2 linked regions of the Notamacropus eugenii genome follow. The protein of the gene in region 2 interacts with the protein of the main gene of each other region in a pairwise test. Links are inferred from orthologs where the notes say so. Each region holds a gene or a part of one and is shown on either strand. Other genes may lie near its edges.

The links. The genes of interacting proteins can lie anywhere in the genome.
Region 1: the proteins of GORAB (region 2) and SCYL1 interact in a two-hybrid assay, tested with the Homo sapiens proteins (2 studies listed by BioGRID and IntAct). The link is inferred for Notamacropus eugenii from reciprocal best matches to the Homo sapiens genes GORAB and SCYL1.

Annotation. Positions count from the first base shown.
Region 1 is NC_092873.1:18,292,747-18,303,862, forward strand, and holds the start of SCYL1 (N-terminal kinase-like protein), read left to right. Parts: upstream 1-6,084; 5' UTR 6,085-6,213; coding exon 6,214-6,333; intron 6,334-6,612; coding exon 6,613-6,753; intron 6,754-7,213; coding exon 7,214-7,336; intron 7,337-7,430; coding exon 7,431-7,657; intron 7,658-7,900; coding exon 7,901-7,991; intron 7,992-8,180; coding exon 8,181-8,336; intron 8,337-11,116. UniProt on the Homo sapiens protein: Regulates COPI-mediated retrograde protein traffic at the interface between the Golgi apparatus and the endoplasmic reticulum. Involved in the maintenance of the Golgi apparatus morphology.
Region 2 is NC_092873.1:475,864,296-475,874,668, forward strand, and holds the start of GORAB (RAB6-interacting golgin), read right to left. Parts: upstream 4,229-10,373; 5' UTR 3,824-4,228; coding exon 3,763-3,823; intron 113-3,762; coding exon 1-112.

The sequences.
Region 1 (11,116 bases), about 460 Mb from region 2:
GTGACCTTTCTTACCTCATTCCAAACTTATCTAAAACGATTACTCCAATTTGCTGTCTCATAGCTGTGTGTCGGCACCTCTGGCACAGACGGTCTAAGTTTTTGGTCATCTCTGCCAAACTGGGGTGTAAAGTGAATCCTCCTGACCTTAGGTCATTCTCCCCTCTGTTTCTCAAAGAGAAAATCTGGTACACCTCTGCATGCCTCCCTCAGGACATCAAAATACATGCTGATGTCCCCTGGGACAACCATGGTCATGCCTGCGATCTGACCATTCCTCACATGTTCTAACTCCACGATGCAAACCCTGATCCTCCTCCTTCCCCCTCTCCCTTTGCCATAACCCTTCCGAATCTTTTATCCTCCCCTTCCTTGAATCCCTGGGCTTCTCATTCTGTGCCTCCTCAAACTCCAAATGTAGGCGACACCTTCGCTCTCCCTGCCACCACCCCCCTTCCCTCCATCTCCATCTCTGCTCCTCTTCAGGTGCTGTTGCACATTTGGCTGCTTCCTCAGAATGAGGAAGGCTCCAGGAGGTCCAGAATGTGCCTCTCATCCTTTCCTTTCATCCCTCCCTCAGACAGCCTGGGAGGAACATCCCAACCAAGGACAACAGCCTGAGTCACCCCCAGAAAGCCTGCCTTGATTTTCACTGTTTGTTTGGGTTTCTAGGCTCTCTCTGAGTAGATGAATAAGTCACATGACTATCAAGAGTGAATTGTCCACACATTTCTTTTTAAAACTTTTGATTTTCAGTTCCAAATTCTCTCCTCTCCACTCCCTTCCCCACCAAATGAGAAGGCAAGAAATGCAATGCCTTTCATGCCACACAGATAAAATCAGGCAAAATATATTTCCTCATTAGCCAGTGGTGATAGTGTCTCTCTGCCCTGCTCTATCTTTTCTTTCCAGTGCATTCTCAGCTCATGCTACTTTATTGCTAAAAACCAAAAACAAGCCCCAAAATTTTAGACATAGTTGTAGAGTTTCCCCAATGTAGGTTTTTAAAAATGGTCCCTCTACAACCTCCAAAGAATAAAATCTCTTCTGTAAACCCCCAAAGATGCATAGATATAACAGCAAGAGGCCTTCTCCAAAACTTCAGGTATGAAATTCTTAACAAGGGACAATAGTTAGAATAACCATACTACCTTGTGAAATAGAGTAACTGTGCAATGGAGAGATTACAGCTCTGCGTGTGCATATAGTAAGTAAACAATCTTTCCTGCACTAAAGAAGGTCAACCTAATATACAGAGCATATGATGTGCTGCTTTTCTTATCTTGAAATGTTTTGAATTGCCAGTGATAGTTGAATTCACCATTTTCAAATGTTTTTTAAGAAGGAAAAAAAGTGACTTATTGCATCCAGTTAATGGGGGTGGAGGGGTTGTCTGATGAAGGCCCTTGGGAGGGGATCTGGAAGGGATCGGAGGGATTTCAATTTCATACTTTTAGTAATTTGGGCTATATTCCAGATCATATCTCTAGACTTCTGCTGAACCTGGGGCCAGATTCTTAGCCAAGGGCAGGTTGGGAGATGGCAGGGAGGGATGACTCAAGGGTAGTGGCAATGCCATCTTGTGGCCTCCCCCAGCAGAAATGGGCCGGGGCACTGGATGGGATTGAAGAAGAGGCTCCAGGCTGCTTGATGGTGCCCCCTTTCGATCCAGTACACCGGATTCGATGCCAGTGAGGGATGGGGGAACCAAGGTCCCTCCCTATTCACTGCCACAGCAATGTCACCCATGTAGCCTGTTGGCCTCGCCTCCCTTCTCTATATCTTTTTCCTCTGGCTGCCTTTGTGCTTCCTCTTCCTTGGGATAACTGAGGGGCCAGCACCCTGAGGGACTGGCTTCTGGTACAGTGGTCCTGGAGATAGACTGTGTTGGCAGTGTTCTGGCAAGAGGGCAGCATCCCAGTGATGAAGCTACCAGAAAGGAGACATTTCTTGGTTTGATCTGACTGAATAATTAACACTCTGCAAAAAACATTTATGCTCCAAGAAGCTTGAATGTTTGCCTCTCAATGGATTGTACTAGACACGTCAAGGTAATCATCTTGTACCATACAATTGGCAGCCAAGTGGCGCCATAGTGCACAGAGTATTGGGCCTGGAGTCTGGCTGACTCATCATCCTGAGTTCAAATCCAGCCTCAGATATTTCCTAGCTGTGTGACCCTGGCCAAGTCACTTCACCCTGCTTACCTCAGTTTCCTTATCTGTAAAACAAGCTGGAGAAGGAAATGGCAAAGCACTCCAATATCTTTGTCAATAAAACCCCAAATGGTGTCACCAAGAGTTGGATGACTGGAAAACAACTGGACAACAACCACACAATGATTCTTTCTTCATCCTCAATTCTGTTTGATAATAAGCCTGTTTCATACCTTCATACCTGATTAATATGTGCATTTTTGAGGGTTCTTTTTTTAACTTTCCTCCTCCCTCAACCTCTTTCTTTGGAGAAATTCTGGATTAGAACCCAAGGTGACATTACTCCAAAGGGCGGTTTTTCTCAGGAAGCTATGGTGGGGTGATGAATGTGAAAATGAGGCAGCTACCTCCCCTAGAGCTGACCCTTGGAATGCTGGGATGGCAGAGAAAGGATAGAGATCACCAAAGGTCATGGGCGTCTGTAGCCTCAGCTGAGCAGTGCCTTGCTAGCCACTGTCCTTCAGGGATGTCCACCTGGAAATATCCAGTAGAGAGCTGGTGATGCAGGGCTATAACTCAGGAAAAAACTAGAGCTGCATGGATGGATACATAGAGCGCACGTTTATTAAGTACCTACTGCTATGAGCCGAGCACTAGAGGGACAAATCAGAGCCTTCCCCTAAGCTAGCTTCCATCCCAGTGATGGATGACAGAAGTGAGCTGAAAAGCGGGGGACAGAGAACCCAAAAGCAGCAGAGGCAAGGGGCAGGCTGATCCAGACTTGAAGGAAGTGTGGCTGGCATGGGCTCTTCCTCAAATCGGCATTCCAAGGAGGTTGGTTGGTTGTTGCTCTTTGTGCTTGAAGAGGTCCCAAATGTTGTGTGGTTGCTCTTCTATGTTTTCCACCCTCTATTAATAATAGCTTGCATTTATATGGAGCCTACTATGTGCCATTTGATCTTCACAACAACCTTGAGAGGCGGGTGATATGATTTATCTCCATTTTCATAGTTGAGGAAACTGAGACAGAGAGAGGGTAAATGACTGGCCCAGGATCACACAGTTAGAAGTGTCTGCAGCTGGATTTGAAGTCAGGCCTTCTTGACCTTAGGCCCAGTGCTGTATCCACTATAATACCACCAGTTGACTCTGTGACTAGTTCCAGTCACTATCTCCTTAATTCCATTTAACTACTTACCATCAATTACAAACAAATATTCACTCCAAAAACACAGAAAGAACCAAAGAACAGGCAGGGAGTAGGCTCAGTTTCTATATAACCTTGACCCTGCCAAGGTCAGGCCTAGCTCTGGCAGGACTGCTCAATGAGTGAGTCCCTGTCTTAACATCTCCTGGCCTGGGTCCCAAAGGTCACTCCTTGTTCCTCAGGGCATTGATAGAGAAGATGCTAAGTTGGCTCCTGGGATGCTGGCAATTGGTGGCACCATAGTACACAGAGCCCTGGCTCTGAAGTCAGGAAGGCCTGAGTTCAAGTCCAGCCTCAGACACTTCTAGCTGCATAAGCTCTATCTGCCTCAGTTTCCTCATCTGCAAACTGAGGATAATAACAGCACACACTTCCCAGGGTGGTTGTGATAATATTTGTAAAGCGCTTCTCAGCTGGCCTGACCATCTCTCACTGGCCACAAGATCCAACAAGAGTACACTGGGATTAAACATAGCCAAGGAGATGTGGCCACAGCTGCCTGGGGCCTTTTTGAAGATACTCCCAGGTCTGGTCATACAACCAATCAACAAATGCTTCCCCTAGCCATCTAGATAGCAGACCAGAATGAGTTACAGGTTATACATGCAAGCTCCGAAGTCTCTCCACAGCCTTCATGATCCATACCATCCCAACTCTCCAGAAGCAGACTCCTTAGGCTCTCCATGGAGAGGCTGCCATCTGAAGCACTCTGTTGCAGGGGTCACAGGAAGGGTTGACAAGTCAGAGGAGACCAGAGAACACCCAACAGTCAACCATAGATCTTCAGCGGAAATGGGAAGAAAACGAGCCACCTGATGACTGCAACAATCTTTTAAGCTGAAGGATATGGAAACAAAATCCGTTGTACCAACCACACTCACCAGAAGTGGTGAGAAAATGTACCTCTCTCTGGGGGAGAATTGGGGGACCATAGGTTTGGAAGATTTCATATACTGCCGCATGAGACTGAGGGGCTTTTTTCTTTCTTCTGTGATCTTTATTCCCAGGGAGAGGAATGTATTTGTTAATGAGTGTGGGAGGCAGGAGAGCTTTCTCAAGCATCTGAAGGGCCACCATGAGGAAGAGGAGCCCTGCTCATAGTAAACACTAAGACAAATGTTTTCTGTGCCCAATTGAAGGGGGCCTAGATTTGTTCTGCTTGACCCCAAAGGTTAGAACCATGAGGCCCTGGTCTGGGGTGGCAAGGAGGCATCCTTTGGCTTGATGCTAACCAATCTGAGCTTGCTCTCCACTGTGGACTGGGAAACTTCAGGAGGTAATGGGCTTCCCATCCCTGGATCTGTTAGGAAACAATGGCCATTCTTTGGAGATGCTGGGCCTCTACCCATCAGATGGCCAGCCTTTCAGCCTATGGTCTCTCCCAAGGACTCCCTCTCCCTGGAGGGCTTCAGACAAAGGGGGGCTGGAGGAAAGGTCCCTGCTTCAGGAACCTTTGGCTAAGATGCCCTTCCTGTTGCCAGATTCTATGACTCCCAGGGCATAGGAGGCAAGAGTCCTGGCTGCCTGTCCTTGGGATGGAGGTCCGACCATCCATCTGTGGAGGTTTTTCTAGTACTTCTATCAGTTACCAGGTTGGTGTACCTGGACAAGTGACCAGGTCCCTATGTTTACTGGCTCTCCTAAGTTTGCTGAAATGAGGTCGGAGCAGCTGACCCAAAGGTGCCTGCCAGCGCTCATCCCCTAGGAGCCTGGGGTGTCTGTCGATCATGCAAAGAGCCCTGGGGCAGCTACGAGCTACTCCAGACCAAGTTCACCATTAACCATGGAATGGGCCCTGGAGTTAGGAAGGCCTGAGTTTGACCGCGGCCTCGGAGACTAGCCGTGGGACCCTGGGCAAGTGACTTTTCTTCCTCTGTAAAACGGGCATGATAAGAGCCCCAGTCTGAGGATCAAGTGAGGTCACTCTTGTAAAGCGCTTTGCAGATCTCAACGTGCCATGCTACCGTCCAGTGGTGGCTGACTCTTCGTGACCCCAAAGATACTGGAGGGGCTGGCCCTTTCCTCCTCCAGCTCATGTCACAGATGGGGAAACTGAGGCAAGCAGGGTGCCGTGACTGGCCCAAGGTCACCCGCCTAGTGAGTGCCTGAGGCCCCGTTTGAACTTCCGGACCCACTCTCACCCGCCAAGATTACGGCAGGGAGGTGGGCCTCGCGCGGGATCTGAACCCAGGTCCGGTTCTCCAGTGCACCCCAGTCCTCGGACGGCCATGGGCAAGGCCGTGTCCTCCAACGTAAACCGAGAACGATATAAACTGACGCTCGGCCCGCCAAGGAGCGGACCGGCATTTATTAACAACCTACTAAGTGCACGCCCCGCCAGGGTGATTTGCCAACGTCAGCCGTAATAACGCAGCTTCTCCCTTCCGCTTCCGGCTTCCGGTTTCCCCTCTCCTCGTTCGCTCCCGCCTCTTCCTTCCCGTCCTGTTGCCTCTGGCCCCCGAGAGGCCCCGCCTCCAAGAGGTCCCGCCCCTCGAGACCCCGCCCCTACACGCCCTCTCTGTGACTGGCAGGAGGAAGAGATGCCTCGAGGAGGCGGGGCCAGAGGAGCGAGCGGAAGAGGGCGCGCCGGGCTCCTGGGGCGGGGCCTCGAGGGGGCAGGCCCCCGAATGGGGGCGGAAAGGGCGGGGTGGCAGCGGAGCAGGAGGCCCTCGGGGGCGGGGCCGCCATTGGCGGAGCCGCGAGGGGCGGGACCTTTGGAGGGGCGGGCCCTCTAGGGGGCGGAGCCGGGCCCGGGCTTAGTCGGAGTCCGAGCAGGAGCCGGGAGCCGGAGCCGGGAGCCGGAGCCGGGAGCCGGAGCCGGACCCCGAGCGGAACCGGGGCCGGGCGGGAAATGTGGTTCTTCGCCCGGGACCCGATCCGGGACTTCCCGTACGAGCTGAGCCCGGAGCCCCCCGAGGGCGGCGGCGCGCCGGGGCCGGGGCTGTGGACGCTGCACCGCGGCAAGAAGAAGGTGACGGGCCGGGGCCGGGGCCGGGAGCGGGAGCCCGGCCGAGCCGAGCAGGCCTGGTTGGCTGGAGGCCGGGACGGCCGGAGTCCGGCCGGCCCCGCCCCCGGCCCGCCCCCGGCCTGACGTGGCCCCCGCGGCCTAGGGCAGCCCCGGGGAGAGGGCCCCCTTCCCTGCCCCCTCCAGCGGAGCCCCCACGTGTCCCGGGGCGGGGGAGGGGCGGCAGTAAGGGCCCAGGGGCTCCCCAAGCTCTCCGGCCCCCTACCAGCCCGCGCCTCCCCGCAGGCCACGGGAAATGCCGTGTCCGTGTTCGTGTTCGAGGCCAAGCCCGGGGAGGAGGAGCAGACGCTGGTGGCCAAGGCAGCCTTCAAGCGGCTCAAAACCCTTCGGCACCCCAACATCCTGGCCTACATCGATGGGCTGGAGGTAGGCCAGCAGGGCGCACCCCTAAGACGCCTCCTCTGCCCCCTTCCCTCAGTTTCCCTTCTTGACCCTTACTTCCTGTTTTTTCTCTGCCCCCTCGGGTTAACGTCTGCCCTTCTATTCCCATAAGATCATTGGGACTTGGGAGATTTCCTAGTCTTAACCTGGGGAAACTGAGGCCCAGAGAGGGGAAGGGGCCTATCCAAGGTCACAGCGAGTTGAGACAGAGCTGGATTTGAACCTTGGTCCCCCTCCCACTGTTTCTTCTCTTCCCCCTTTGTCTTTAAGACCTGCACCTCCCCCCAGCAATCTCCCCAGGTCTTATTCAGAGCCTCCTGGTGTCCCCAGCCTGTACCCTTGGCTCCCCCACCTTGACCAACCTGGTCTCTAACTTCCCATCTGTCTCAGTCCAGGGGCCTGGAATTGGGATCTGTACTCACCTGTATCTTGGATCTTCTCCCAGACTGACAAATGCCTTCATGTGGTGACTGAGCCTGTGACCCCACTTGGGACATACCTGAAGTGGAAAGCAGACACAGGGGGCCTGAGTGAGCTGGAGATCTCCTGGGGGCTGCATCAGACTGTGGTGAGGATCCCCCTCGACTTGCCCTTTGGGGAGTGGGGAGGGTGGGTACTGCCAGCCTCCCAGACCATGCCTCAGCCTGATCTCATCCCCACAGAAAGCCCTTAGCTTCCTGGTTAACGACTGCAACCTCATTCACAACAATGTGTGTACGGCGGCCGTCTTTGTGGACCGAGCTGGGGAGTGGAAGCTGGGTGGCCTCGATTACATGTACTCAGCCCAGGGGGACAGCGGGGAGCCCCCACGCAAGGGGATCCCTGACCTGGAGCGCTATGACCCACCTGAGATGACAGACAGCAGCAGCAAAGGAGTGGGAGAGAAATGGTGAGCATGGGGGATTGAATGGGCGGGAGGTTCAAGCCCCTTGTGGAATGAGACTGTGTCCTGCCTGGGAGCCCAGAGGTGCTGGTGCATGAAGGCCCTGCTCCTTCTCCCTGGCCTCTAGCTGTACCACAGCAAAGCAGAAATTCAGGAAAGGGGAGGCAGGAGGAGGGAGCCCTGGCGCCACCTGGCTTAGCATGGTCAGGCCCAGGAGGGCCCCTGAGTCCTGTCTTTGGGTCAACACAGGTCAGCTGACATGTGGAGACTGGGCTGTCTAATCTGGGAGGTGTTCAATGGCCCCTTGGCCCGGGCCTCCTCCCTGCGTTCCCTTGGGAAGGTGAGTCTCTGGGATCTGGTTTCCCCCAGCCCGCAGGATACCCCCTCATTTCTGGGGCTTGCCTTCCTCCCTTCAGCCATGGACCTCTCTCCCTTTTCTGGTCATCTCATCTCTCCTGTCGCTCACTTCATTCAGCCCCTTGTCCTCCCTGACCCACTGAGGCCCCTCTCATGCCTACCCTTTTTTCAGATTCCAAAGTCTTTGGTTCCCCATTACTGCGAGTTGGTGGGGGCCAACCCCAGGGTACGTCCCAATCCATCCCGCTTCCTACAGAACTGCCGGGCCCCCGGCGGGTTCATGTGCAACAGCTTTGTGGAGACCAACCTCTTCCTTGAGGAGATCCAGGTGAGCTTATGCTGTAGGAGTGAGCTGCCCCTGAGAACAGGCACTGGGTTGGACTACCTCCTGCCTCACTTGTGCCCCCTGCCCCTGCTCTGTACACTGGGAGCTGTTGCTCTTCTGATTTTCTTCTTTCTGTGTCCTTTCTAAGGCTGGAGAAATGTTGTGTGCACGTGCACACACACAGACACACACACACACAGACAGATACACACACACACACATTCCCCTCACTATAAATGCTACGTGGTCGATATAGACACTGGAAAACAAAGGGATGGCAGTTGATACCAGACTGCTCTGTCTGGCCTAGCCCAGCTATCCATCAACTAGTTAAGCAAGACCCTGGTCATCATTGAGGCAGGGACCATTTCACTGAGCAGAACAGAACTGAGACTAGGATAGAGGGGTGAGAAACATGGTGGGAAGAGAGGAGAATGGGGGTAGAAGTCCCAATTCAAGGTCTGCTTATTAAAACTAACAATAGCTTGAAAAACCACCTGAAAAGCCAGGCCAGGTGAGCCCAGATGGGTCTGGAGAAAAGAAGATGAAATGTACATCTCCACTCAGTAGAGGAGAGGGGGGCTGAGGGTGCAGAATGTGGCATACACCATCAGCTTTGCCCTGTGTTTCTTGATTCCAAGGGAATTTGGTGTGGGGTATATTGAGAAATGATGCGTGTTGGGGTTTATTTAAGTTATCCATTTTTAAAAGCAGGACAGAAATGTCCACCGACACACATACAAGAATGGCATGACAAAGCCTCTCTTGAGACACTTAATGTGTCTTATAGGATCTTGGCTAGTTTAGAAATGAAATCAGTAAGGGCATCCTTAATAATAATTGGCATCTTTGACAACCCTTTGGCATCAGGTGAAAAGGGGACTGGCCCAGGAGTCAGGAGACCTAGATTCCAGCCCTAGCCCGATGCCCACTAACTGCATTGCTTTGGGTAACTCACGAATCTGAGCCTTGGTTTCTTCATCTATGAAGGGAAGGGGCTGGACTGGGTGCCCTCCCAGAGCCCTTTCAGCCCCCACCTTCTAAGTTCCTTTCCATTCTCTTGGACCCCCTGGCCCTTGCTTTTATGGCCTGATTAGAGCTTTGGCCAGGAATAAGGAAGACCTCAGTTCAAATCCAGCCTCACTGTGTGATCCTGGGCATGTCACTTAACCTCCTATTGACTCAGTTTCCCCAGCTGTAATATGAGAATAATGATAGTATCTTCGAAGGGTTGTTGTGTGGATTAAGTGGGATGATAACTGGAAAGTGCTCACTGGCGCAGAGTAGACATTATAGAAAAATGCTGATTCTTTCCCCTTTCTCTGTCCTCCCTGCCCATCCTTGGAGAAGGGAAAGTGAAAGGGCCGGGGCTGTGTGATGGGTAGGGATGTGGTCCCTAGAGTTTGCCAAGTGTTAGCAGAGGCGCAGAGAGGGGAAATGATTTATCCAAGGTTACGCAGGGCTAGGAGTTTAACCAAATGCAAATTTCCATTGCCCAGGCTATGGTTTTGAGGACTCATTAAATGGTTAGACCCAAGGCATAGTTACTAATGGATCAGCATCACTTTGGAAGGAGGTCTGGAGTGGAGTGCCCCAGGGATCTATGCTTGACCCTCTGAAGTTTAACATTTCTACAAGAGTGTTGGATAAAAACATGGAGAACATGCACTCAGTTTGAAAGCCGACACAGCAGAAAGAATTCACTGTCCCTGGGTGATGAGATTCATATTCAAAAAGTTCTAGACAGTCTAGAGGCCTGGGACAAATTTAAAAGGATGGAATTTTTAAAAAGTTTTATAAATTACTTTTTGTTCTTGACACTACTGTTGTTTCCGAGTACCCAGCATTCCCTCCCCTTGGCCCTTCCCTCTAACAAAGAAAAAGAGTTGAGCAAAAGCAGCTGCACTATTCTGTACCTGTAACCCCTACCTCCAGCTCTTAGGGGAGCAGAGTGTGTCAGCATCTGGGATTCCGACGCAGTTAGTTTCATCTGTGGTCAGCTTGTTTTTCATTGGCTGCCTCTACCTGGCATTGTGGTCCTCCTTTTTTGTCCAAGTCTTCCCAGGTTTCTCTGAATTTTGTGTATTTGTCTTTTCCTGCAGCACCATAATACTGCATTATATTCACATACCATGATTTGGGCAGACATTCTCCAGCTGGTAGGTAGAGGCTAGACCCAGGATCCAGAAAAGCTGAACTCAGATGTGACCTAAGATGCTTCATAGCTTTGTGACCTCTGTCTGCCTCCTCAGTTTCCTCCCCTGTAAAGTGGAGATAATAACAGCACCTTCCTCCCAGGGCTGTTGTTAAGATGAAATGTGATGAGATTTCCAAAGTGCTTTGCAAACCTTAAAGCGCTCTAGAAATGCTAGCTTTTATTATCGTTATTATAGGAAATACCCAATATGGAAACTCCTCCCACCAGTGTCAGGAAATCAATAATTTGTCGGTGACTCAGTCCTAGAACTGTCTGGGGCCTCGAGAGATAGCTGGTATGTGTCAGACAAGACTTGAACCCTGACTTGTCCAACGCCAAAGCTAGTTCTCTATACCTTTTTACTGTGCTTTCCTATAGTTCTTCCAAAACATTGGTGGGTTTTGGCTTTAATTATCTTTGCCAATTTAATGTATATTACGGGAAATCTCATCATTTTAAAAAATTATTGGTTTTAATTTCTCTTACTAGTAATTTGGAACATTTTTTCACATGGTTGTTGATGGTTTTCATTTCTTCTTTTGGAAGGGGCTCGGGAACAAGCATTAATGTATTAAGTGCCTACTAA
Region 2 (10,373 bases):
TCCTCAAGTCCAAGCTTCTGGCTTTGCTGCTGAAGAGCCTTTTCACGCTGTAGCTGCTGTCGACTTTTGCTCACAGGGTGACGCCTTTGCCGATCAGCAGTCTCAAATGGATCTATATATAATACAAGGAAAAAAAATTATATGAGAGTAGCGGATTATAAATTACTTTTTACAAAAGAAAAAAACAAAACACATTAACACTTCAGTAGAAACCAAATTTTAGGTCTCATTTTTTTAATTCTTTTATACTGCACACACAGTGGTAAAAAGTACTTTTCTAGTTCTGTCTTAAACAGTACTCATGCCCCACTTTTGGTGCTCAATAAAAATTCCCCATATAGCCAATTCTGAAATTTAACCACATGCAGGTAAGCTGCCTGTAAATTACACTTCAAAAAGATCTGTTATTTCATCTCTGTGAGTAATCACACCGTTCTTGTTGCTGTGTTTGTCCTTTGTTCTTGAAGAGGACCATGACATCAAGATGATGACATGACTTGCAGTTGACTTGGCTTTGAGTGAAGTCGCCAACCTCACTTTCTTCTCCTGAGCCATCCGGGTCCAATGGCCTGATATTCATCAGGACAGCTGCAGATGGCCCAGGATGCAATAAGAGACTCTGGCCCTTTCAGGCTAAGGTCTTATAGCTTTCTCACTTTGAGTGAGATACACCCATTCAATGAATTAAAGCCAACTACAAACAGCCTGGGCTTTAGCAGATGGTTTTAAGAGTCCCCCATGGTCAAAAGTCAACACTGTTTAATGACCAGGCAAGCCTTAATAATGTCATCTTAGCTCTATTTGATTGAGATGTCATTGTCTTGCATTGACTGAAAAAGAGAAATTCTATAGATTGTCGACAAGATCGTCCAAACAAAAAATCAACATACATCTTGATATTTGATATTAAGTGGGACAGTAGAAATGGGGAAAGCAGTAAATTCAATATTTAGAAAAGTACACTAGTATATATGGTTTAAAATTAAGAACTGAAAGAGGCCATGGCTTGTAGGCTTCTCAGAAAAAGCATGCCAGTATAATCATCTTTTTTTCTTTAAAGAGTTAGAGGGTACTAGCATGAAAATACAAGAACAAAAATAGTATCATTAAAAATGAAATTACATACATTTACACAGTACATGATAGCAGTAGCTAACATTTTACACAACACTTTAAGGCCTGTGCATGGCTTTATATATTATCTCAACACACACACACCAGTTCCTTGAAACAGATAAAATTCTAACTAGTTCATATATTCCACATTCATTCTACCTCATCTAATTAACATGACTACCACTCCCTTCTACTTCCCATCTCTCTAAACTAAAATTAGAAGCATTTACTTAAGGCTCATACAGTTCCCCCCACAAACTCTATTAAAGACAAAAATTAAAGATATGTCTAGTTCCTCCCTTTTCTCCCCACTTTGGGACCTTTAACTTCTAGACACACAGACCTGTGATAGATATATGTTGTTACTAACCCTCTCCCTAACTTTCCTATTGAGAGCACCAGTATGAGTAAACCAGGTTTACAACCCTGGGGTTGTGACCACTCAGTTGCCAGGTTTTGTTGACTGTACTGCTACAACTTATCTGCCCTCTTTTCTTCATTCACAAAGTCATCATCCTAACTCAACACTACATCACCTACCTCTCCTCTAGTGACTAACAGAACAGAGTCTCACTTGGACAGTCTCCTTGCTTCTTATCTTCCTCACCATCCTGTATATATGAGATATTACTAAAGCAGAGATCTGATCATGTCACTCCTCTACTCAAGAAGGCCTAATAACTCCCAATTACTTCTAAGACAAAATACAAACACTTGCTTTGGCAAGCATTTTTTATGATATAATTCTATATTTGCGTAATGTGCATGCCAGTGCAGAAAGAAATCCAAATGACAGACTGGCACACTGTTGCTGGGTTACCCATGCTATGGCCTCTTTCGTTTCTTGATTCCAAACTGCTATTATCTTTACATGATGATTGCACTATGTAACCATATTACTCTCCTACTTAATACACTCCAGTAGTTCCCTACAACCTGTGGAATCAAATACAAAATCCTGTTCAACATTCAAAGTCTTTCACAACCTAGTTCCCTCCACCTTTCCACTATACTCCTCAATTCAGCCACACTGGCCTCTTGGTAATTCCACTTCTCTGCTCCAGGCATTTTCTTAGACTGTCCCCCAGGCCTGGAATGCTTTTCCTCCTCAACTGGCTTCAAGTTCCAACTAAAATCCCACCTTCTACAGAAAGCCTTTCCCAATGGATCACAATTCTAGCGCCTTTCTTTTGTTAATTATTTCCTGTTTATCCCATGTATAGCTTGGTAGTATATATTTGTGTGTAGTCTTCTCCTTTAGATCATGATCTTAAGGACAAGGACTGTCTTGTATCTTTCACTGTACCTTCATGGCACATGTGCCTGGCAAACAATAGACATTTAATGCTTATTGACAGACTGAGATTGATTTGCTTCAAAAATTCTCATGTTCCAGTTAAACCTGCCTACTTGTTGAGCATTGCCCCAAAACACACACACACACACACACACACACACACACACACACACACACACACACACACACACACACACACACACCCATACCCATTCTCTTTACCTCCAAATACCTCTCCATGCCACTCCACAAAAACTGATCTTAGGAAGATATAGGGCTGACCATGACATCCTCTTATCCAATGGCTCCCTAGGACCTCCAGGTTTAAAAATAAAATCCTCTGGAATTAAAATCCCTTCATAATCTGCCTCCCCTCCCTACCCCCTTTTTTCTAGTCCTTTTTTCTATTCAATTCCACAAACATTTCTACCTTCCTTCCTTCCTTCCACGTAGTTACTCTGGCTTCCAGGCTGTTCCTCAAACAGGTCACTCCACCTCCATACCTACAGCACTGATCTCTCCAGGCTTCCTTTAACTCCAAGCTAAAACTCCCACTTTTTACAGGAAGACTTTTCTTATCCCTTTAAGTCTAGTGACTTTCCTCTAAGATTATCTCCCATTTATCCCGTATGTATTTCATCTGTACATCCACTGTTACACTGTGAGCACCTGGAGGGGCAGGGATACATTGTATCACTCTTTCTATCCCCAGAACTCAGCCCAGTGCAAGGACAGTAAGTGCTTAACATAGCCTTGCTGACCAACTAACCCTAACTAGGCCACTGGAATTTCTGATCCGCCCTCCCCTCCGTGTGTATTTATTTCACATATACTTTTTATTTATACGTGCACATATTTTCATTTGATAGTCAGCGTCCTGGGGGAGGGGAATGTTCAGCTTTTGCCTTTGGATGCTCAGTGCTTCCAGCAAGCACTTAATAAAAGCTCTGCCTACCTATCACGCTTACCACTGGTGCCTGGCATACAGTAAGAGCTTACAGACCCACCGACCCTAGCTTTCTTTAAAGCTTCTCTTACGCACCCCTCCCCCACCGTTCGTGTTTATTTCACAAATAATTCACACTTGGACACATTTGATGGAAAGCTGCCTGAGGGCAGGGATGCTTGCCTTTGCCTTATATACTCAGCGCCTCCAGCAAGTGCTTAATGGAAGCTCCATCTACCCATCTAGGGGGCCTCCGGCTGTACCTGGTACACAGCAGGAGCTTAATGTTTGCAAGCATGACTCGTCTCCGCCAAAGTGTCGCTCACCCTTCTTCTCCGGACCCAGCCCCGCCCCCTCTTCTCCTCCAGGACCGAAAGGATAGAGCCATCTCCCAGCTCGTTACCTTTGTTCTGCCGCAACCTCCGCAGCTCCTCCTCGGAGAAGCCGGCCCATCCTTGCGCCATCCGCCCGCGCCTCTCCGGGGCTCCCCAGGGCTCCCGGAGCCTTCGAGGAAACCCGGCTGCCAACGCGACCGCTCCACAGAGTCAGGGCCTTCGCCGGCTGGGGCCATCCGCTTAGCCAATCAACGCGCCGCAAACAGAAACAAGCCCCACCCCACCCCGGCTCCTTCGCGTTCCCTCTGAAGCAGGTATGTTTAGGTGGCCGTAGCTCTGCCTGAGTAGATACCACGAGAGATCTGCGCAGCATACATTCCCCAGCACACCCTGTACCTCTTCACCTCCCTTCCTCCTCTCCCTCTCGCTGTAGTTATCTGTAACAAAAGGAAATCCTCGTGGCGCTTCGGAATAATGTTAAGTTTCTTGTCAGGCTTTTTACGGGTGATCTGGAGGGGCGGAGTCAGAGAAGCCGGAAGGGGCGGGGCTATGCCCTTGCCTTTTAGTATTTGTGGGGCCCGCGGGCCGCGTCTTTTTCATCCTTGTCTAGGGGACGGTCTTACCTGGGTCTTTCGTATTGTTGCTTGGCGTGTTTCAGATCAGCGAGATTTTAGATTTTAGACCAAAACCTCGTGTAGACTTAGGCCTTCAAACAAAAACCCAAACAATGGGGCTTTCTTTCTGTCTCTCCCGGTTCTGCTTGTGCTCTTGCCTCCTTGTGTTTCTCCCTCCTCCTCTCGCCTGCTTCCTGTCCTCTGCTTTCTTGCTTAGGCTGTCTTCCAAATCTCGGGCCTTCTGGTATTTGTAGGGAAAGCAGCGGGGATTTCAGAGTCTTTTCTGCAAGTGCTATGTAAAAGTCTGTCAAGCGCTTTGCGTGTCTCGAAGCGCTACATAAGTGGCAGTTACTATCACATGACGTCATTATTCTTGAGGGTCCACTCAGGGCCCCCGAGGTGGGGATGACAAGATAAAGGGCAGTAAGGTCGGAACCAGGGTGGCATGGTACCACTTGGAGCTGTCTTCCTTGTCCGTGAAATATGGGGGTAGAATTAAACGACTTTTAGACCACCAGCTGCAGTCTGGGATGCCATGAAAACTTTGAGAAGGAGGAAAGCATGTGTTGAGTGGGTGAAGGAAGGTGTGGTGGGAGCTCACTTGAGGAGAGCAGCTTTATAGGACATGGAAGCTATGGTGGAAATTCGGGGTTTGGGGGTCAACTGAACTGCTTGGGCAGAGGGAAAATGAGATGTTTAAAGCCTCAAAAGTGTTTTGTTGGTCTGTCTTTAATTCGGGCTGATAAATTATGCCAGTTTAGATACCTATCTCTACAAGGATGTGTCCCATGATTTTAAGATTGGGTTGGTTTTAAGGAAATAAATTCATTCAGAAACTGATTAAAGACCGAAGAAGCTCAAGACGCAGCTAGCTGCTGTAACTGTAACATTCTTGTTCTCTAGTCATTTTTAGGACATGGGAGGTGAGATGTGTGTCTTAAATAACTTCTTCCAAGAGAGTGAGATTTGGGAGGGAAAAGACCCAAAGTATTATAAGAAATCAAAGGAGGGAAAGATGTGAGGCTTTGCCAAATATGTGTTGTCAGAACACTTTGTCCCAATTTTTAGTTCAGAGAACCTGCCATCTAAATGATGAGAAGAATAACTGTTAACTACAAGGAATCACGTTTTTCATTGTACTTAGTGTAGTTTTTTTCAAGTTTTATTTACAGAGGATTACACTGAGCTGAAATGCAAAAAACTAAAATGAAGGAACAACATAGAAATGATTTTTGCCCTAACCCCCAAGAGCCCAACAGAGTTGCTCTTCTAGGCCACACTTGATGAATGAGGGTAAACCCCTGGTTGAAAGTTTTTCTACATTTGTTGCATTTTTTTAATTAATTTTTTTTATCTGATGATGAGTAAGATCCTTGTCTATGAAAAAGCTTTGAGCAGAAGTATACCATAATTCAAATTTTAGAATAAAATCTTAAGTACCTGCCATATGTAAGGCACTAGACTTGGCATTTGGACATAATAAAGTATATTCAGGAGGGAGAGTACCTTAGTTGAAGAGATATGGAAGGATTTGGAGGAAGAATGAATTTTGGGAAAGCCTGCACTGTTCCTTCTTTTTTAACATGACTTGATTTGAAAAATTAACAAGTTTTTAAGGCATGAAGCTATCAACACATTAATTGATTTGTATTTGCTAAAAAACCTCCCATAACTTAAATATAAATTCTTTTGGAAACAATTTATCTGAGAACCTGGATTGTAACACATCACACGAGGTCTAATGGGAGGCATTGAGGGTGGCTATCAAGGAAAGATTTGGAGATCTAGTTGCTTATTGTGTAGCTTGTGTGGTACTCTGAAAGGGAACATCCTGTAGTTAAAAATTGTGGTGGACTAGGAGTTAAGTAGACCTAGATTCACATCCTCGATGATTTCCTCATGTAATCTTTGTAACATCATTTAACTTCTCTTAGCTTCATTTTCCTTGGCTGTAAAATAGGGATAATACTTGCAATATCTACCTCACTGGGTGACAAGGAAAGTGTTTTGCAAATCTTAAAGAGCTATAGAAATGTGTTATTTCTCCAGGCATTTTATATCCTATAGTTGTTTCTTTCTCAGAAAGTAACATGCTTGGCTGTATCAATCCAATCCCATATAGCAATGGTTTTACTGAGTTAGGCATTTTGAAAGAGTCAGTATGAGAATTCTGTTCATCCTTGTGAAGTACTAGTTAAGGGTGTTTTCCATTCATTGTCCTTATAGGAACCATCATGATAAACTGCATTATTTAGCATTAAGAGAATTTTTTTTTAATGAAACTACTCTATTGTCAGAAAAAGAAACTTCACTTTTTTGTGAATTTCACTTTTTTTTTGTCTTCTGGAAAACTTAAGAGCCAAATCCAGTAATTAACTCAACCCAAGTAATTGATGACCTCTACAGCTGTTTCAAACTATCTCAGACTCTCTTGGAAGCAAGATGGCAATATATTTTAAATAGCAAACTGTTAACAATTTAATTAAACAAGTATTTATTAGGTACCTAGTGTGAGTCAGGCACTTCTAGGCTCTCCCTACAGAGATAGAAATGAAGTTCTACATTCCATAGACTTGTCAAAAAGGACTTTTGTTAGCAGATGTGTTTCACATCTGGGTAAAACTGGATATATGGAAATCCAAACTTTAAAAAAGCAAATAGGGACATCAAGAAGGATTTTCTCCCCTTTTTAGCAGACTAATGTCTATTTCCTTTAAATCATGAGTCCATGCTTTTAGAATAGGAGTCACATTATTACTTCAGTAGTAAAATGTTGTATGAAGTAAATGCACACACTTTAAAGCAAAATGAATGATTCAACTAACTTTTCCCTTTTACCTCAAATATTAAATAGCAACGGTAGAGCTCTAGCCAAAAACTTACCCTTACTCTTGGAGTTTTTTTTTTTTCCTAGAGTGAATACTGGTAATAGGTAAGCTTTCCAAAAATTGTTTACTATAACAACATCTTAATAGTGATAAATAAGGGATTTAGAGAATACAAGATTCCACAATGTCTGCTGACAACCTAAAATTTAAAAAAAAAAGCCATAGAGCAAAAAAATAAAAAATGGCTCAGAAGTACTCTCCTCCAACAAGGCAGTTCCTATGTATATGTTAAAATTTATACATAAATTTCTCATAAGATCACAAGGCAAATTTCTTACACTAAGTTTTTTGATAAGATTCGATCACTAAGAGCTTTCATCAATCCCAACTATCAATTTCAAGTGAATATACAATAGATAACAAAGGTGCTTCAATAGTACCTCTAATATGACACAATCACAATCCAAGTGGAAGGAAGATGGAGGCATGCCGGTTTCATCAAGCCCCAAAATATTAAAGGTCTTCTTTAGTGGAGTGTGTGGTCACTCAAAAGAATTTGACATTTTGTCTGCATGGGAAAAGTAAGTGAATGAAATAAGAATACTATGTAGATCATTATTAGATGGATAAGTGTATGAGTAGTAGGAAAATAATTGTAGAAAATCCTGTGTTGAGGCCAAGCTAAAATGCTGCTTTTTTGGTAAAACCTTTCATGGTTTGGCTCCATCACCTTCCAAAAATGTCTATGTCATCCAGACTCCTAGATTGTACCACTTTTATGGTATATCATATTTCCTTGTATTTGTGTATATATCTTTATTAAACTAAGCAAGTATCCTTTGATTTCAGGTACAAATTTGGTAGGAATAACTAACACATGGAATGAAGAGGTCAGGATCCAAAAACATCCTGATGTGCTACAGTGATGGGCCTATATTGTTTATAGAACAAAGGAGTCAATAGTGCCCCTGAGCTATACCCTGATCAGGTCATGTGTTCATTTCTTGGAGAGGACATTAACAAACCATAACGTCCTCCAAACAGAATCGTGAAAGACCTAAAAACCATGGCGTTCAAGGATCATTGAGAGGCTTAGCCTGGAAAAGACCTTGGATGAGAAGGGTGATAGAGAAGGGACATAGGACTTACAAGCATGAAACGCTGTGTTTCCTTCACTCCAGAAAGTAGTACTTGGACTAAGGTGAACGTAAGGGAAAACTTCATATCAGAGGTATCCCAAAGTGAAATCAGTTTCCTTAGAAGGTAAAAAGACAATGTTACAGAAAGTTTTCAGGCAACATTTAGACCAATGGTGTCAAACTCAAATAGCTAATCAGTACATAAGGATCCCTGCAGGCCATATATTGACTTAGTTTTAGAATGCAATATTATCTATGCTTTATAGTTTTATTGTTTATATTTATTACTTACTTATTTTGTTAAATATTTCCCAATTTTATTTTAATCTATTTCAACCCACTAAAGAGGGTTGTGTTTGAGACCTCAGGTCTTAATGGCTGCTTGGGGATATTCTGCTACAAGGATTGGTTGACAGAATCAGTGATTTTTTGGAGTCTAAAATATAACAAATACAAACTCAGTGGAAGGAAAGAAATGTCAATAATGATGGAACTATGACTGGGAATTTATCTCATTTATGCAACTTTTTCTCCAGAGGGGTATAAGCATGGACATAGGATCTTAGATCCTTTGGATTATATAGAAGGGATGGCAGAAAGGTTAGTTGGCTAGATGAGCTCCTTGGGGTACCTTCCAGGAAAGATCATATAAATCTGTAGGGCCTTAGAAATCCATAATATATCCATATTATAGGAAATGAGTGTGTTCCAGTGAGGTAGGAATGGTGACATAAATTAAATCCAGACTGCATATAGCCTTAAATGTGATTGCTTTATCTGTAAAGATAAAATTAACAAACAAGAGTGTCCCAAACAAAATTGTGAAAGGCCTCCTGGGAAGTGTAAGTGTATTGTTAAAGTAGATAAATATCTTGAATGTTTTTAAATACTTAATAAAATACTTTCTCTTCAATTGCCGTTCACAGGTAGAGGTGATCTGCTCATAAACTTGTCACTCTAAATAAGCTGGTAACTTTAAGCAACTGTTGCCCTAGGCTGCCATACCTTATCAGGTTTAATTAGGCCTTTTTTTTTTTAAAATGAGGAATTTGGTAACCTGCTTGACCCAAGGTCACACAGGTAGTGAGCTGTGAGCCAGGGTCAGGTGTGTATAGATAAGATCTCCAAGGGGAAAGGATGGAGTAAGGCAGAGCCACAGTAGAAGTTAAGTGGAATGTTTATAATAGTAAGAAAAGTCTCAGGGAAATTGATGATGTCAGATAAATGAAAAAGCATTAAGTACTTACCATTTGTCAGAAACTTTGCTAAGTACTAGAACCAGAAATATAAAAATTAAATCATTCTGTTCCCCCAAAAGTTTATATTTTAGAAGAAAAAAGTAGCACATACAGCTAGAGGAGCATACAGGAAGGTGTTTTGGTCAGAAGTTTCAGAGTTGGTGAGCGATGTGATAGGGTGTTTAACAGCCCTTTCTAAGAACGGTTCTACTAGTTTGATTATTGTTTCCAGAGCCAGAGCTGAGGTGGGGATATTGAATTGATATGGTAGGCTAGGAGTATAGTTTCCTTAGATTTTAGCAGAATATTTAAGTTTCTCATGCTATTTAGTCATGCAGACTAAATAGTAAAATTAAATGGACATGAAATTAGTTGAATGGTTGCATGTAATATTGGGAAAGATGTGCAGTGGAGTGTCCCATCTGGATCTGTACTATTTAGTATAGCGATTTGGATAAAAGTGTAGATGGCATGCTTATCAGATATACAAATGATAGAGGTGAGAGGGAGGGATAGCTAACATCCCAGATGATCAGTATCCTGACTAGAAAGTTGAATATAAGATGAAAGCTAATAGGGATAAATGTAAAGTCTTTGTGTTCAGAATATTGACATCTCAATTACAAGACATAGAAGGAAAAATTAACAGTTTGTGTGAGAAAAAAATGAGGTGGTATTGGTAGACTGCAAGTTCTATAAAAATCAAGAGTGGTAAAGTACCTAAGAGAGCCAACAGAACCTTGGACTGTGGAGGCATAGCTTCCAGGAATAAAAAGGTGTGGTAGACTTGCTCTATTTTTTATTTGTCAGACCACACCTAGAATACTGAATTTTGTCTTGGATACCACATTTTAAAGGCA